3 linked regions of the Drosophila melanogaster genome follow. The protein of the gene in region 2 interacts with the protein of the main gene of each other region in a pairwise test. Each region holds a gene or a part of one and is shown on either strand. Other genes may lie near its edges.

Region 1 (4,208 bases), on a different chromosome or scaffold from region 2:
GGATTTCATCAAGAAACAGCGACTTGGTCCAGATAGCTTTGTTCAGATGGCATTGCAGTTGGCATTCTTTAAATTGCACTATGAGCCAGCTGCTCAATATGAATCGGCGCATTTGCGCATCTTCGATGGCGGCCGAACCGAAACCATCCGTTCGTGCTCCAATGAATCCCTGGCTTTTTGCCACGCCATGGATGATGTGAGTGCATCAGCTCAGGAGCGGGCTAGTAAGATTCGCGAGGCAGTGATGTGCCATCAGATGTATGCGAAGCTGGCGCTTCTGGGAAAGGGTGTCGATCGTCACCTCTTTGGACTTAAACTAATGGCGGTGGAGAACTGCCTACCTGTTCCGGAGTTCTTCTCTTCGCCAGGATATGTAAAGTCCACGCACTTTCGAATGTCCACTTCGCAGGTGGCCACCAAATATGATGCCTTCATGGGATATGGACCTTCTGTAGAAGATGGATATGCCTGTTGCTACAATCCCCGTGAACATGACATCATTTTGGCCATATCCGCATGGCGACATTGTCAGGCAACTGATCACCAAAAGATCGCCAAGGCGCTTGCGCAGTCCTTTGCTGAAATGAAGGATGTACTTGAAACATGTCCAGCTTCAAAAGACAAGCCGCCAGAGCTTAAGTGCAAGTATTGAATGTGTTTTCCTAGAACATACTTTGGATCCAAAAAAATTCCTCTTATTCCAATAATACGTTCGTTCAGTTTGGAAAGCTAAATTCATTCCCATTTAGTGGGACTTATTAAAGTACTATTAATCACTTCTTAAAATCGTCATCTAGTTAAAATTCAATGGTTTTTTTTTTAACAATTATATTTTAATACGGATTTGGGTAACATTGGCAAGCACTTAAACCTAAGTGGTGTTGATGACAGCTAACTAGATCTGGATGTGACGAGCAATGAAGAATACTTAGAACTGGTTCGCGGGCAAATAATGATTGCCGATGGGACCGACGCCAGAGTTTCCGGCACCGTTCTCCGCAAATTGTCCCTCTGAATGTTGCTGCTGTTGCTGTTCCTCCTCCTCCTCCTCTGGAGGATCCAGGGATCCCACCACCGAGGTGATGGGGGCCACACCCTCGTCGGTGATGGTCGAACTTCCTCCCAAAGTATCGTACTGTGACTGAATCTGCCGCTGGGCATTCAGAGCTTCCTCTGGAGTGCGGTACTTGATGAAGAACACCTCCGGCTTATTGATGTGCTGTGGCGCCTCGGCAATGGCATCCTGCAGATCGGAGGCGGTCGTCTTCTTGGCCAGCACATAGACCACGGTCTTCTCCTGCTTAAGGGTCTTGGCCAAGTTAAGAGCCGCCGCGCGATTGGTCTGAGCCGGCGTCTTGACGAACAGCACATTGTAGTGGTTACGGGGCTGCTGGGCCAACTGGTTCAGCTCGTCCTGGACCTCATCCTCAGACTCCTCGGGCGCCGAGTGGATGAAAAAGTTTTTGGTCACAATGGGACGCTTGGGAATCCTGACACGCGGACGAGCGCGTCGCTGCTGCTGGATGGGAGCGGTCTGGAAATTGACGGGGAAGCCGGCGGGCATGGGAAACGATCCGGCTGTGGGACGAACTGCAGGCTGGGCAGAATGGAACTGGCCAGCGGGCGGGAGGTAGGGCAGTGGGAGAGGTGGAAGCACCGGGTGCGAGGATTGCTGGGGCTGGAGCTGCTGCTGCTGCTGCAGTTGCTGGTTCAACAGGTGGGCCACAATGGGCGGTTGCTGTTGCTGCTGCTGCTGTTGGATGCGGTAGTTGTAACCCGCCTGGGTCAAGCTGATGTCAGCCTGGCTGAGGCTCAGGCACATGGCGCCCATCAGAACCGTCTGAAAGAGAAGCAATCATTATAATCCCTTGTAATCCAATTGGCATAGAGGTAGTCCAAGTTCCAACGCACCACAAATATCTTCATGCTGCCGCTTGGGTGGGTGTCTCTCTGCTGGTTAGCTGTCTTAAGCCGGATGCTCCCTCGCTGTCCGAGTTTCTTAGTGCTGTGATGATGGGTCAACCGGGCACCTGGCCTTTTATACCAATCCACGGGCCCAACTTGTTTATAATCGGAAACAAATCGTGAAACAGCAGCCAACACAGTTGCAACAGTCGAGGGGTCATAAAACATTTGTTATGCGTGGCGAAGAGGTTGTTCGGATTCATTTGGCTGGGTGGCAAGTGGGCTTTTGTATCGACTTTACATGGGGTTCCACAAAAGTCGAGCGAGAGGAAGCCCCAACAATGGGTGATACAGATACGACAAAAAAAAATCTGCATTTGTTGTAAACAAGTTAGTCGAGCTGTAACTATATCATTTTGAACATTTGCCTTATAAATATAATATATATTAAGTGTGCGTTCACTCCAAGCAAGTATCTAATACGATTTCAGAATATAAACAAAATTCAAATAACTATTCATTCATCAGATCCCTAGTAACTATACTAACTTCAATCTCAATATTGCAATTAATTCATTGAATTTGATTATAGATTTATATTTAGATTTTTTCATACAGGCAGTAAAAACATTTATTGAGAAACTACTTAATCATTTAATTGTAAATATAATTAAAATACCCAAGCATATCCATGGCTGCCAAGTGGACAATCAAATCGTCGTTTAAATTAATACAAAAGTTTTGTTTAGCTTCGTAGTTTTTGCAGATCAGTTGAATGTCCCAGAGTAATATGTAAATATTGATGACGAAGATAGGCGGACGAGGTTACTCGACCGACTTAAAATGCACTTTTGTCTACGGGACCATTGTCTCTATTTTGTTTTATTGTTCGAAACCTGAGCTATCAAATGGAAATTGAAAATTGTATATGCCGGGGACTTCAGTATTTCGCATCAGTTTTGGTCTGGCCCAAGGTCTAGGTTTTTGTCTCCATTCGATGGGGCGTAAGTGTTGGGCGATATATTGTCAGCTTTAAATGTGCCAAATTGAGACAAAATGATAGTATTGAATTTGAATTGGATTTCAAACTAAAAAAGTGAAGGTAAATAACCCCCGATCAAATCGAAAGCACAGCGTATCAAATGGATATGCCAGCTTCCAGCGGAAATTAGTTGTCATAACAAGCAGATGCATACGGAATACAAGCAGATATAGACCTTATAGGGCTAATTGGCAGGTCTCCATACTAATGGAGTGAATGTGCAAATGGTGTAATATCGAAGCGGAGATAGCAAGCTTTGCTGCTTCCTTTCCAATTTGGACTTACACACTTGCCACTTTGCCACCTGAGATATATTTCAAAATCTTGTGCATCCGACAGGGTGCATCTCATTAGCCGGGTGAAATTCTGCCCACAAATCAAAATAAACCAGCCAAGGGCAACTTGGCCACCAGATAATGAGTTAGCCCACATGTTTTCTGGTCGATGCCAAAAAAAAAAAAAAATGGTTTTCAACTTTCTCACGCCAATTTCGTGAGCCATGAAAAACAGTGAAATGGAACCGAAACTATGTTCCCTTTTTGGGCCATTAAAGATGCAAAGATCTGTCAAAGAAATATACGATAAGTTGTTTTCTGTTTGTAATGGGAAACCAAAATTACTTTGTCATTAATTAATAGATCTAAATGCATTAGTTCAAAAGTAGCAACAAGAGAAAATTACAATTTTAAATGGAAATAAAATGCGACCATGATTAATGGGTGCCAACTATTGCCGCACTTTGCATATTTTATGCAAAATGAATAAGTTGCCAAAATCTATTGAATGCAAAACACTCGGTGCGCAGATTAGTCAAAGCATAAAAGTGAATGTTGACGGTACACAAATTATGATTTGCGTAACAAAACTATTTTATTTTAATTTATTAATTCACACCATGAGAGATTTTGACATAGGCTACCTTTGTCCATTCCTATGCATAGCATTAGCAACCGAATCCGAACCCAAACTACATCCACCTGCGAATCCGTATCCCAAATCCATCACATCGAAACGATTGGGCGATAAATGCCCCTGCGATCGATGCCTACCATCCATCCGGTCGTAATAAATGCATTTTTAATTATTGGCCTAAAAATGGTTAAAAATTAATTATGGGACACCTCGAGCTCACAACTATTTTCGGATGACCACAAAACCAAAGAAAATAAAATGTTTTTTTTTTTTTCAATAAGCATGTGTATCGAATCATGTTTTGTTTTTTCTACGCTTAAGCTGACAGTTTTACATGGGCTGTTGAACA
Region 2 (5,517 bases):
ACTGTTGATATTCCCAACGACATCATCGATGAGTCACTCTACTTCTGGAAATCGAACATTTTCTTCCGCACTTACGAAGTTAAGGTTGGTGACTGGACAAAGAAATGAGCATAGAGATAAAGCGAGGCGATATTCTAATTTTTAAAATGAAGATACATTAAGAAGACGGCACAGCTTGTTAAATATTTCGAAACAATCTTAAAGCCCTAGTGGAGTCAATTTTATAATGTTAAAACCAAGTGCGTTATCTCACCGCCCTTATTTGTAGAAATATGTCGTTACAATCAGCCTGATAAGAGTGAAGTTATTTGTTAAATTTTTAGTAATACCCCTTTCTTATATGGTGTTCCAAGAGTTGGGTATTTCTACATAATGAAATTATTTTTTTGGAGCTTGGAATTTTTTTTTAAAAGTTCAATAATAGCTTATAGCTTATATAGCTTATATTACTATATAGCTTATAGCAATAATAGTCTTATCAATTATGATATCATTCTTAGAATATTGTTGCTATGTTTAAACTTTTAAAATTACTTTTTAAAAAACCCCTATTACCCATACATTGTATATCTAATCGCAGTCGGAGGTGGACAGGGTGCTCATCTACATAACGCTCTACATCACGGAATGTTTGAAGCGATTGGCCCGATGCACAAGCAAATCGCAGGGTCAGCAGGAGCTCTATACGCTGGCCATCTCGCGGTTCGATATACCCGGAGATGCGGGATTTCCGCTGAACGGAATATACACCAAGCCCGAGGATCCGGAGCTGATGCGTCAGTACTTCCTGCAGTTGCGCCAGGAAACCGGAAACAGATTGCTGGAAAAGGTCTTTGATACTCCGGATGGAAAGCCGAGCAAGTGGTGGATATGCTTTGCCAAGAAGAAGTTCATGGAGAAGAGTCTTTCGGGACCGGGAATGTAAAAGACTCACTAATATACTGCCGATCTTAGAGTATTTACCACCAAAATTTACGAATAAACTGCTTTGAATGTATTAAATTCGTTGTTGATTTATGTTTATTGATTTATACGCTCTCAAAAGCGCATATTTTTCACTTTGTAAAAGAACTTAGTGTTAAACATTGTTGGCTGAAGGCTAGTTAATACTTTATACATATATATTTATAAAATCGATGAATAGCATTTATTACATACATATGGCTTTAACGATCATTTGCAGGCTCTCACACAATCAAAGCCCTATTGCTATGGTAATCAATTATTAAAATGGGTTATAGCTGCAGATCATGTTTTTCCTTTATGCCTCCTTTCGTTTTTGTGCCAAATAAACATTTTTTTTATACATACAAACAAAAAAAAAATATGCACAGCTTAAAACTATCAACAAAATAATAATAAAAAAAAGAGTGGAAAAATACACAAATTAATCTTACATCAGAACAGGACAACGCATTCACATAGTTCCGCGGAATGACAGCATTATTTATGTACAAAATATACTTGCTAGCTCTCTAAGCCTACTTAAACTCCTTGACGATCTCCACGATGCTCTGGTAGGTGCCAGTGACGATGCCCAGCACGGCCACCGTCAGGATGAGAATGTTTTTGATGTAGGACCACACACCCAGTGCCTTGGGCACCTGCGCCCGCGTCACGAAGTCGATCAGCACCGGAATCACAAAAGCCAGACAGGTGGAGCACAGTGCTCCGATCAGCGAGATGAACAGATTGAGCTTGGGAACGACCAGCGCAACGCCAACTGGAAAAGCACATATAGAAATATATTCCGAATAGCGTAAAAGCTATAGCTATGATCATTTAAAACGGATATTACTACATTATCATTGATATTGATCAATATAGTGATTCCATTTCCAATTGTATATATATATATTTTTTTAATTTACAACCCACTTACATGTCATCATCACCATAAAGAAACGGAGGCACACCTGCGAGGTAATGGGATACTTTTGAGTGCAGTTATTAGACCTCTTTAGTGGGGGCCACAAAATCTTAATCATCACAAAGAACTGGATGGGGTAGCCCAGGAAAACGCCCAAAGCAGCGATCACTTTCACCACCTGCGAAAAACTGCAATGAAATCAATAATATTAATAACAAAACAGGCGATTCGAAAATAAAATGTAAAAAATCATTACAAGTAATTTCATATTATCTTAACCTGGTGATTCTACTTACACTTCCTCCACTACAAGATTTAGCGTTATGCTGCCGGCTACCTCCTCGCCCCATCGCACATAGCTCACGAATCCGGTGAAGATGAACAGGGCCGTGGTAAAGAACATCGTGGAGTTGAGCACTCCGAACCGGGTGCTAAACTTCTCCGGTCGGCGCATCGAGTTCCGCAGCGGCAGGATGAGGGCGATGCCCTCGTAAGAGAACAGAGCGGTACCAAAGAACAGGGCCAACTGAGCTCCGCCAGTGAAGAGGTGCCTGTCGCCAACGGACGGCATGGGTCCATCCGAGAAGGCTATGGTCAGGGTGGCAATCAAGCCGAAGAGCAGCGCCACATTGGCAAACAGCGACACGGGCGAGATGTACTTCAGGTTGGTCATCAGCGAGGGTATCATCGCCGGTAGCAGGGTGATCAGCATCACCATGCTCATGCTGATAACGATGCCGTTCTGCTGGAGGACCTGGTGCAGATTTTCCGTGATGAAGACAAAGTAGATGGCGCAGAAGCCAAACTGCGTGACGCAGAGGAACATTTCAACGATCAGCTTCATTACGCGCGACATTTTTCGCAGTGGGCGTGGCCCGTGCTCGAAGCACTTCTCCACTGTTTCCGGATAGTCGAGAAAGTCCACGCCGGGCGTGCGCTCCACGGCCAGCACGGAACCACGGATCAGCATGCGCTCGCAGTGGACGCACATCACCGCAATGATGGGCAGCAGGATGGTTGCTCCTGCCAATCCGCCGTTCTTGAAGCAATCGCCCATGGCGAAGAGTCCGGCACCGACGCTGCCCTTGAAGAGATGCGTAGCCGCCTCCAGTTCGCTGGTCTCATGGCCGCGCCTGCGCACCGGGTCTCCGTTCTCAGGATCGGCGCCTTTCTCCGTCACATTCTTCGTGAAGCGCTCCGGATTCTTCTCCAGACTCTTATCATTCTGTCTTCCGGTTATTTCCAGTGTTCTTCCCATTTCGCCGGCTGCTTCGATCGCCTTTTGATCACTCTGCTGCTGCTGTGGATTAAATAGAAAATTTGAAAAAATCTCTCGTCGGCTCTAGAAGAAAGTCCAGAAAAGCTTAAACGGTACTTGCGTTCTCGCGGGAAAAAGACGGCCAGAGAAGTAGCGATGAAGTACAGTTAGGTCTCTCTTTGGCATTGTCTTTATATTTGTCTAAGCTTTAACCCCAGGTAACCCAACATACATAAGTACAAAATACATTATTTTGATGCCGCTTGAAATTTTTGAAAATATCTACTTTATAGTAATATACAAATTAATATTTAAATAGCTTCAACTCTTCTCCTATAAGATTTAACCCTAGAAAGTGACAATTAGAAAAAAAAAATATTTTCTTAAAGAAGTTCTTCATGATAAAAAGTATTGTAAATAATAACAGAGTTCGAAATTGAAATTCGTGCCATTAAAAATGCAGACACATATGACACAGTTTTACCATTGACAACATGCTAATTAATTCGCATAAAATACTGAATGCCAATTAAATACGCCCGATTCATTATAATTCCCATCGCTTTTGACCAGTTCAAATCAATGTCAAACCTCATAATATCAACAAACATTTGATTGCTTCCACGGCGGAATTTTGTGATTTGCAGAAATTAGCATATTTTTAGTGGCTTTGGTTATAAATTAATTTTTTTTTTTAACACTACAAGTAGCAGAACAATCAGTAAAAACTACGAAAATCAAGACCTTGATAATATTGAAGTGCACTTAATTTTGTCTGGTTTATAATTTACGAGCTTTAAACCAAATTAGAATATCCGTTATTGAGGCGCACACTGGAAATAAAAACTGATTACTGTCGCGCTCTCAGGGGTGAGTAAGCAAAACACTTTAAAGAACCGGAAAGTAAAAAAAAAAATTATAATAATTAACCCGCCAAGGCCACAGCACTTAATTATTCACACATTCAGAATGAGCAGTATGATGCACTTCCATCTCTTATGATTATTAGACACGGATTATTGGTGCAGATTTAGCAGCAAGTGTTATTCTCACCTAACAACACTGATTAGTACGTATTGAATATGTTGAATATATGTGCATTTATTTAGTCACTCGATCGGCGATGATCACCTCTTGCTCGCTGTGAGTACGCGATCAAGTGTATCGAGTGTTTCTGTGAATCGCCGGAATCGCACGAAATGTAGGACCGCTCACGGCAAGAACTCAAACCAGACTCAATGCTCGAGTTGGCCAACAGCGGCGAAAAGCGAAAATTGCAAAAGGCAAAAGTCGGAAGGCAGAAATAAAACAAAACTATATAGAAATAAAGAGCGGCGTCTGTCTGTGTGAGCGATGCAAAAAGCGCATAACGTTTAACCCCCTGCACTCGCTACAAACTAAAATACCACCCACTTCATGGTTTAAAAAAAAAAAATATGAATATAAATATGGCATAAGTGAGCCAACAATGCTAACCAAAAGTGCATTAAATAAATACCGAAATCTTAATTCAGATAATTTATCAACTTAATTACTGCTGTATTAACTAACTATGAAATTATTTTGGTAAAGTATGGGGTTAAAATGCGTGGGAGATCGGGGTGTGCGAGATCAATTCCGCCGATCCTAAAATCGATAATGGTTTTCTAAGCGATGTTTCCACCTGGTTGTTGGCTGACTCAAGACTCAAAATCACTTTTCCTCACTTTTCTTTGGAAAATAACGGGGGAAATGCATTGAACATATGGCAGATAGAATATAAATAAATATAAAAACCTATGTAGTATATAAATAGCGCGCAATCACTCATCGATAAAAGATATGATGTGCCGTCATGGATCAGTGGTTAATATAAATCTGTATATTTTCAAACAAAGTTTATTGCACATCAAATAAATAAAACATTCCAACTTTTCACATGTGCCATAGATCAATTCAAATTAGGAGAACGAACGAAACAAAATAAAGTGTATAAAACATGCTGATAATCGATGATAATTTATTTAATTAAGTATTGTTTCTAATTCATGCTAATTACTTTTATTAATTGCCTTACCAGGAAAAATATATCCCCTCTTCTATACGTTAATTATACTATCGAAATGCTTTCTCGACCCTTAAAATTGTCTAAGTATTTTTTATTAATTTATCTGAATTAAAACATGCTGCTCTAAATTGCAATTATATGATCGTCATGCGATGTTAGTTTATTTATTTACTATTTACTTTGGATCTACAATCATATGAAACGTGAGTGGAGATTGTTTAGAAATTAAATCCATATTGTTTTACCGCACCTGATTGCAGCTAAGTAATTATTTGCAACTAATTGTACTTAAACTACAATAAGTGAGCAACGTAGTTTAAGTACTGGCCTAAATTTGTTCAG
Region 3 (7,055 bases), on a different chromosome or scaffold from region 2:
ACAACAACAACCGCAGTAGCAACAACAAAACTGAACAACTTATCCTTGTGCTTGTTATATTTACCCTCAATTGTATATGTCCTGCCTGCCACCTCACACCCTAAGGATAATTCCTTGGCAATTGTGTTTTTATGTGGCCAACCCCAAATCTGATTAGACGAGCTTCCGAGGGTTTCAGCTTTGGGCCAAGAACGGCAGTATCAGGCTACGATAAATGGCTGAAACTTGTAACTGAGCAGGATATCAGACGTGGCATTGTCAAGGGGAAACTGCTTTTAGCCTGTTGCTAAAAATACTGTCGCGCGTTTGCGTCCCCTTGAGGGTCTTCGTTTGCAATCCTTTCGACAGGAGGTTCTGCAATTCCAATCGGCTTGTTACCTGTCCGGGGAATTGACTGTGTTAAGTGGTAAATTACTTTTTTTTTCTTGGTTCCGTTTTTTTGCGACATATTACGGGAAAAGGGTTTGCATGTAATTGATACTAAAACTGGAGCAAAGTATATGTCTAAAAAGTGAAACACTTAAAAAAGGACTTAGAAAGCCCTAGAAGTGTAATGTGTGAGGAATATGTTAAGCGATTCCCAGCTATTGAGCATTTGTGCATTTACCCAATTGATTTTTTGGGGTAGCAAAAAGAACAGAAATGGAAAAGATTATTGCTGTGATTTATGCTTTATTAATATATTTTTTTAAAATTCAATAAAAAGACACCTTTCATTGGGAACAGAGGTGCATTGAAGAAGATTATCATCGAAAATCGTTCCCTCATCGCAATCCACGGCATATGGAATGGGATAGTCACAGACGACATAGCGACCGCAATCATTGGGATACGGAAGCAGAGTTCCAAGAGCTTGGCCACAGCATATATTGGGGGTGTACGGATCTAGAGTTGTTGGTGTAGAAACTGTGGTTGTCGATTCAGTTGTTGTTGTTACTGTTGTCGATTCGGTGGTTGTTGTCTTTGGAGTTGTTGAAACGGTTGTTGGCTCGGTTGTCGTTGGGGTTGTTGAAATTGTCGTTGACTCGGTTGTCGTTGGGGTTGTTGAAACTGTCGTTGACTCTGTAGTAGTAGTCTTTGGAGTTGTTGAAATTGTCGTTGATTCCGTGGTAGTTGTTTGGGGAGTGGTTGTAGCTGTAGTTGATTCTGTGGTTGTTGTTGGGATTGTGGTTGACTCGGTAGTAGTGGTCTTTGGAGTTGTTGGCTCGGTTGTCGTTGGAGTTGTTGAAATTATCGTTGATTCTGTGGTAGTTGTTTTGGAAGTTGTCGATTCTGTTGTAGTTGTTTGGGGAGTGGTTGAATCTGTGGTTGTTGTTGAGATTGTGGTTGACTCGGTAGTAGTAGTCTTTGGAGTAGTTGACATTTCTGTAGTGGTAGCCTCGGGTGTTGTTGAAACTGTTGTTACCGGTGTAGACGAAGCTTCTGTACTTAAAGTTGTAAGCCCTGGTGTGGTTAACTTAGTGCTACAACCAGCTAGTTCGGGATCCATGCAGGTCAATTCCGTGGGACTAAACTCCAAACCATCCGGACAATCGTAACCAACTGGTATTGGATATTGGCACTTTATATACTTGCTACAGTTTCTCGGGTAGGGTACCAAGGAGTCGTCTGTCTTGCCTTCACAAATTCCATCTGCCGGCTTTTCAGTTGTAGAAGCTTCCGGGTTAGTTGTTCCTGGTTCCATTGTAGTAGATGATGGTGGTGTTGAAATTGTTGAAGGTGATTCAGAAGTATCAGTAGATAATACTGTAGATGATTCTGTAGTTTCTGTTGATTGTCCTGTAGATGATTCTGTTGTTGATTCCGTTGTTGATTCTGTTGTTGATTCTGTTGTTGATTCTGTAGATGGTTCTGTTGTTGATTCTGTAGACGATTCTGTAGAAGATCCCGTTGATGGTTCGGAAGGCGTTGTTGAGCCTTCCCCGTCTCTTGGTGTAGTCGTCGACTCCGATGGCTTAGCAGTGGTTGTAATCGAACAATTGGCGAGTGAAGCATCAACACATTTTCCAAGCTCCACACTAAATTCATCTCCTTTTTCGCATTCAAAGGCAACCGCAATGGGTCTATCGCACTGAATATACTTCGAACAATCGTTGGGATAAGCGACAAGGGCCCCATCCTCGACGTCGTCACAAGGTCCTTTCTGCGGTGGTGGTCTCGTAACCGCTGTGGTCGTTGTCGGCTCACTGGTAGTTGATGTGGTTGAAGTGTAGTCCCATCGACAGGCATCTGAAGGAACATCCGCTCCACACTTTTCAGTAATTGGATCGTAGTACTCCCCACAATTACAGACGTCCATCATGTAAATGTAATCATCCACACAGCGTATGAACCATTGACAATTGTCCGGATATGGGAATGTATCCCGACTGCTATTTGTACACATGGTCGGTTCCGGAGGAGGTCTTGTATAGCCTGGTTCTAGAGTCGTTGTGCTTTGATCACCCTCACAATCACTTTCATCCCAATCATCAATGCACTTCTCTAACTTGGAACTGAAGAATGTACCATCGGGACAGAAGAACGCTATGGGAATTGGTGAAACGCACACAATGTACTTGGTGCAGTTGTTGGGATAAGCAATATTCTCGTTCTCATTTCGACCACCGCAAATACCAGTTTTTGGGGCCACAGTTGTGGTTGTCCTTTCGGTGGTTGTAGCTGTGGACTTGGGTGTGGTATTTCTTTCGGTTGTTGTGGTCTCTGTCGTTGTTGTTGTTGTGGTGGTTGTGACTTGTGATGGTTTGCACGCATCGGGTGCCACATCAGGTCCACACTGACCTGTGCTGGGATCAAAATAACTGCCGTAAATGCAGGGTGCCAGAGTCCATTGTCCGCCGCCCAAGCAAAGATAATACTTGCTGCAATCATCCGGATAAGAAAACGAAGCTCCCAACTCCTGACCATCGCAAAGCTGATCTGGTCCCAAAGTTGTTGCCACTGTGGTGGTAGTCGTGGTAGGAGTGGTTTTTTCAGTAGTAGTAGTTGGTATGGTGGTTGGAATTGGTGTCGTGGTGCGATCTCCAAGGCACACAACATCATCTGGCTCATCGCATACAAGCAAGTCGGGATTGAAGAGCGTATTAGGAGGACAATGACCCATTTGCACTTGATTGTCTTTACATATTAAGTACTCCGAACAATTGCCTATGTAGGCAAAAATAGTGCCGTCCTTTTCATCTTTACAATCATTTGGATCGACATCAGAGGGAAGTCCATCTGTAGTGGTTACAATCTCTTCTGTGGTGCTAGAATGTATTTCCGTTGTAGACCCATCAGAAGGCAGTGTTGTAGGCGTTGAAGGAGTTGTAGTGATTGAAGGCGTCGTCGTGACTGAAGGCGTCGTTGGTTTGTTGGTTGTTCCCGGAGTTGTGGGGAATGGCAGGGGGTCACACCGCACCGAATCGGGTGTATCGCAGATGTGCAGCCAATTATTAAAGAGTTTATCCGGCTGGCAGTAATCCAAATCTGTGCAACCATTTTTGCAGGCCAAGTACCCACTGCAATTGTAAGGATACTCATAGAAACCATTTCCCTTCGGCACACAATAATCCTCTTCAATTCCCTCCGGCGTTGGACCGCAAACCACATCCTCCTCAGTTGTTGAAGTGGGCGGCATTTCTGTTGTGGTTGTAGGAAGGGGCAGCTCCTCGCAATCTGCCATATCGGGAGTATCGCAAATGCCAAGGTACTTATTGAATACCTTGTCTTCAATACAGTAATTTAGCACGGGCCAGCCGTAAGTGCAGTTTATATAGGCCTGGCAGTCATATGGATAATAATGTACCGAGCCATCCTCCTTGTTGCGACAGTAGTCATCTGAAATTCCCGGTGGTGCCGGTGGTGGATCCCAACTGGATGTTGGGAGGTAACTTGAGGGGGTAGAGGACGTTATCTCTGTACTGGTTCCGGTGGTACTTTCTGTCGTTATCTTTGCCGTACTTGATGGTGGTTCTGTGGGTTCTGGCGTTATCTTTTGAGTACTGGATGTTGGTTCTGGCGTAAATCGAGTAGTTCCATCCGTAGGTTCTGGCGTTTCAATCGAGTAGTAGATACATTCTACAGCTTGGGGATAATTACATTGCTGGGTCTTATTATCCCACCAGAGATTTGCGGGACACAACTTCACCGTGGGATAGAGACAGTCGCAAACTAGGAACAAACTACAGTTATCCGGATACGGTACCAAAGCACCAAAGTCCTTGCCCTCGCACATCACCTGGTTTTCGTATCGCTGTTCATTGTTGCAAGTTTCGTGACGAGGTTCGATCTTTGGCAGGGCCAAAACATTTAGCTGCCAGCTCCAGAATACGGCGATAACCACCAGAAGCCATGGCAAAGGCTTGAAAATATTATCTGGAAAAGGAAAGAATACAATAATAATACAAAAAAAAAAACATACAGAGACTATTACTAGTATTTAAGTTTAAATATTTATGTATAATTGACATAATAATTTATTGCATTGTACTTGCATAGAATATCTTAGATTTACCTTGCATAACAACTCCCCTTTCTAAATTGTACTATATATTTTTAATAGGTCTTTTCGCCTGCGAGTTTAACTCCACACTGACTTGTTAACTAGGCCAACTGTCTTGTCTATAGCAAAAGCTATTTCCTGATACAACGTCGGTAGCTTATATTAATGACATTTTGATTAGATTTAATTAGAAATTCTTTGAAATTTATAGAATATCGTTTTCATTCTAGTGATTGTGATTTGTGATTTTATGTTATCGTTAACTTCTGAATTATTTTTCTTAAGTGCCATTTCAACACGAGCAACACAAGATAGTTTCCGTAATATTCTAATCTAGTGATAAGCCAATTACGTATTGAAGTCTTATCGTGGCGTCATAGATTGTTTTGTTTATAAAGGTTAATTTTAAGCAAAATATAAGGCAGGAAGCTTCTCTGGGGTTTTCTTTAAGTATTTCCCCTACTGGTGTTTTTTTACACACGTATTGCTTGTGAAATGAGTGTCATTTTATATTCTTTCATTTCGAAGGTAAATCATTTTATCCTGTTCGCATGTGTTTTGTGTGCGCCTTTTGTGACTCTTATTGCTGCTGTTATTACACTTATTGTTCTTGTTCCAGTTCACGGTGTTGTTGGGTCTTTAATGAGCCCACGTGACCTTTCCGACAGCGAAGTTCGAGTCACAATTTATGATCAGCACTCGACGCGTAAATTACACGAATAAAAATGCGAACATAAACATAAATGAAGCTAGAAGTTTAATGCCCGGCAAGCCATTAAAATTAAGCGACAAAACATGAGTGGCACACAAAATACGGCATTAAGTAGAATTAGTTGAAAATGTATAAACAGATTGAAGAAATTTGTATCTCTAGTTTAAAGTGGATTTGCAAGCTGCAGTTGCATAGAAAGCTAGCCATGGTATTTCAATTTGTGCTGCAAATTACTTAAAAGCATACAAATCTATTTGTCTGAAGGATGTTTTTATGCTGTCTGGCTGACCTTTTTTCCATCCCTTCTTCAGTCGCCTTTGGGTTGACAAACAGTCACGAAGTTGGAAAATATAAAGTGCAGCCTGAAAGGACAAATCCATTAATATAAAAATAAAGTTGCATAAAAGAAAGTGCGGATTATTTAAGTACAGATTTTTTGAGATTAAAATAATAAATGGTTTTGGGTAAATTAAAGTCAGGAGTATGAATGAAACAATACTTATAGGTACTCATGATTACTCTTTTATAAAAAGATATATGAAATTTATTCTATACTTAGCATATTTTTCTTTGGAATTAGCTCAACAAATCAAATATAATCAAATGTTCCCACCTCTTTGGCCAAACTTGCTGCTGGACAATTTTTCAGCTTGATCTGTTGGCTGCTGTCAAGCGTTTGATCTGCAACAGATTGAACTATCAATTATGCCCCTGCATGCGACGTGACCAGCAACTGACATGTGCCACATGCCACACCCCATCCAAAATCTGGGAAACAAGAAGCAGGACCATCAGATGGCAATGTTAAAACGGACGTTTAGTTACAGCTGAGCACCTGCTCGCCTTTCTGTCCGCCTGGCTGCTCCTCAAAGGAATGGCGGCGGAGAAGCGGGTGAAAGCGAGGGAAAACGTGTCCTCCACGCAGCAAAGCTGCTCCTTGCCCCGTTCCACAACTCCTCCCCTTGTTTGTGTTGCATGAAATTGACCCGGTGCGTGTGTCGCCAGCGACTGGAAAGGATTCTCGGCGATCTGATGGGGGGTTTGTATATGGCGCAATGCATCCTGGGGCCTAGATTCATCACCGAGTCTGGCGGCATTCGTGTGTTTTTCCAGCTTCCAGAGATTTCACGTAAGCCCCTGTGAAACTCCTAAAAAACGTCCAAAACGTTTTTTAAGCCATATAAAAAATGTTTAATTACTAGAGAAAAAGAAACCATTATAAATTTGTTAAATATGCCCTTTGTAAGTCAGAAATAGTTGTCTGTAACCAATTTATTTTTGTAGCATTCAAAGCTTCGCAAAGTTTAAGTGATTGTTTCAAAATATCTGAAAATCCATTGGCTAAAATACCCAAGAAATTGGTACAAATGAACTGTTTGATTACCACAACCGAGTAAAAATCGAGTAAATGAAATACCGCAAAAGTGCAATCATGCAATGAAAACCCAAAATCATTGAGTACAAACCAAGGACCAAAGTTCCGGAGTAAACTAAAAAAACACACAAACAAAGTGCAGAGAATATGCATGTGTATATTCTTTTTTTTACCAATGCCGAAGGTCCTTTGGCTTTGTTACCGCTTTTTTGCCCCCTTTTCCCTTCCTTTTTTTCTGTTAATTAAAATCCAATGATTCCCAGAACCTTCTTTGGACTTCTTTTAATTTCTCTTATGTTTGTTTTGCTGAATTTACATTTTCTTTCTACTTGTTTCTTATTTTTTACTTCTGTTTTTTTTTCTTGTTGTTTTTGTATGCTGAGAGATTTTAATTGCACACATTTTTGCAACGTTTGTTGATAAGAATTTTTCGTGTACCTTTGTAGTTGTAGGCAACTACAATCAGCAAAATTAAAAATATTTTT

Evidence for each region.
Region 1: the proteins of CG4991 (region 2) and TwdlW interact in a two-hybrid assay, tested with the Drosophila melanogaster proteins (one large-scale study listed by BioGRID).
Region 3: the proteins of CG4991 (region 2) and CG4835 interact in a two-hybrid assay, tested with the Drosophila melanogaster proteins (one large-scale study listed by BioGRID).

What each region holds. Positions count from the first base shown.
Region 1 is NT_033777.3:17,140,387-17,144,594, forward strand, and holds TwdlW (TweedleW), read right to left. Parts: upstream 2,019-4,208; 5' UTR 1,927-2,018; coding exon 1,912-1,926; intron 1,841-1,911; coding exon 929-1,840; 3' UTR 822-928; downstream 1-821. Other genes in the region: CG5265 (uncharacterized protein), read left to right, coding at 1-652.
Region 2 is NC_004354.4:17,100,050-17,105,566, reverse strand, and holds CG4991 (uncharacterized protein), read right to left. Parts: upstream 3,359-5,517; 5' UTR 3,315-3,358; coding exon 3,246-3,314; intron 3,192-3,245; exon of another isoform or gene 3,171-3,191; coding exon 2,167-3,170; intron 2,059-2,166; coding exon 1,883-2,058; intron 1,724-1,882; coding exon 1,482-1,723; 3' UTR 1,005-1,481; downstream 1-1,004. Other genes in the region: Arpc3B (Actin-related protein 2/3 complex, subunit 3B), read left to right, coding at 1-84, 581-925.
Region 3 is NT_037436.4:5,477,297-5,484,351, reverse strand, and holds CG4835 (uncharacterized protein), read right to left. Parts: upstream 4,563-7,055; 5' UTR 4,503-4,562; coding exon 4,496-4,502; intron 4,357-4,495; coding exon 689-4,356; downstream 1-688.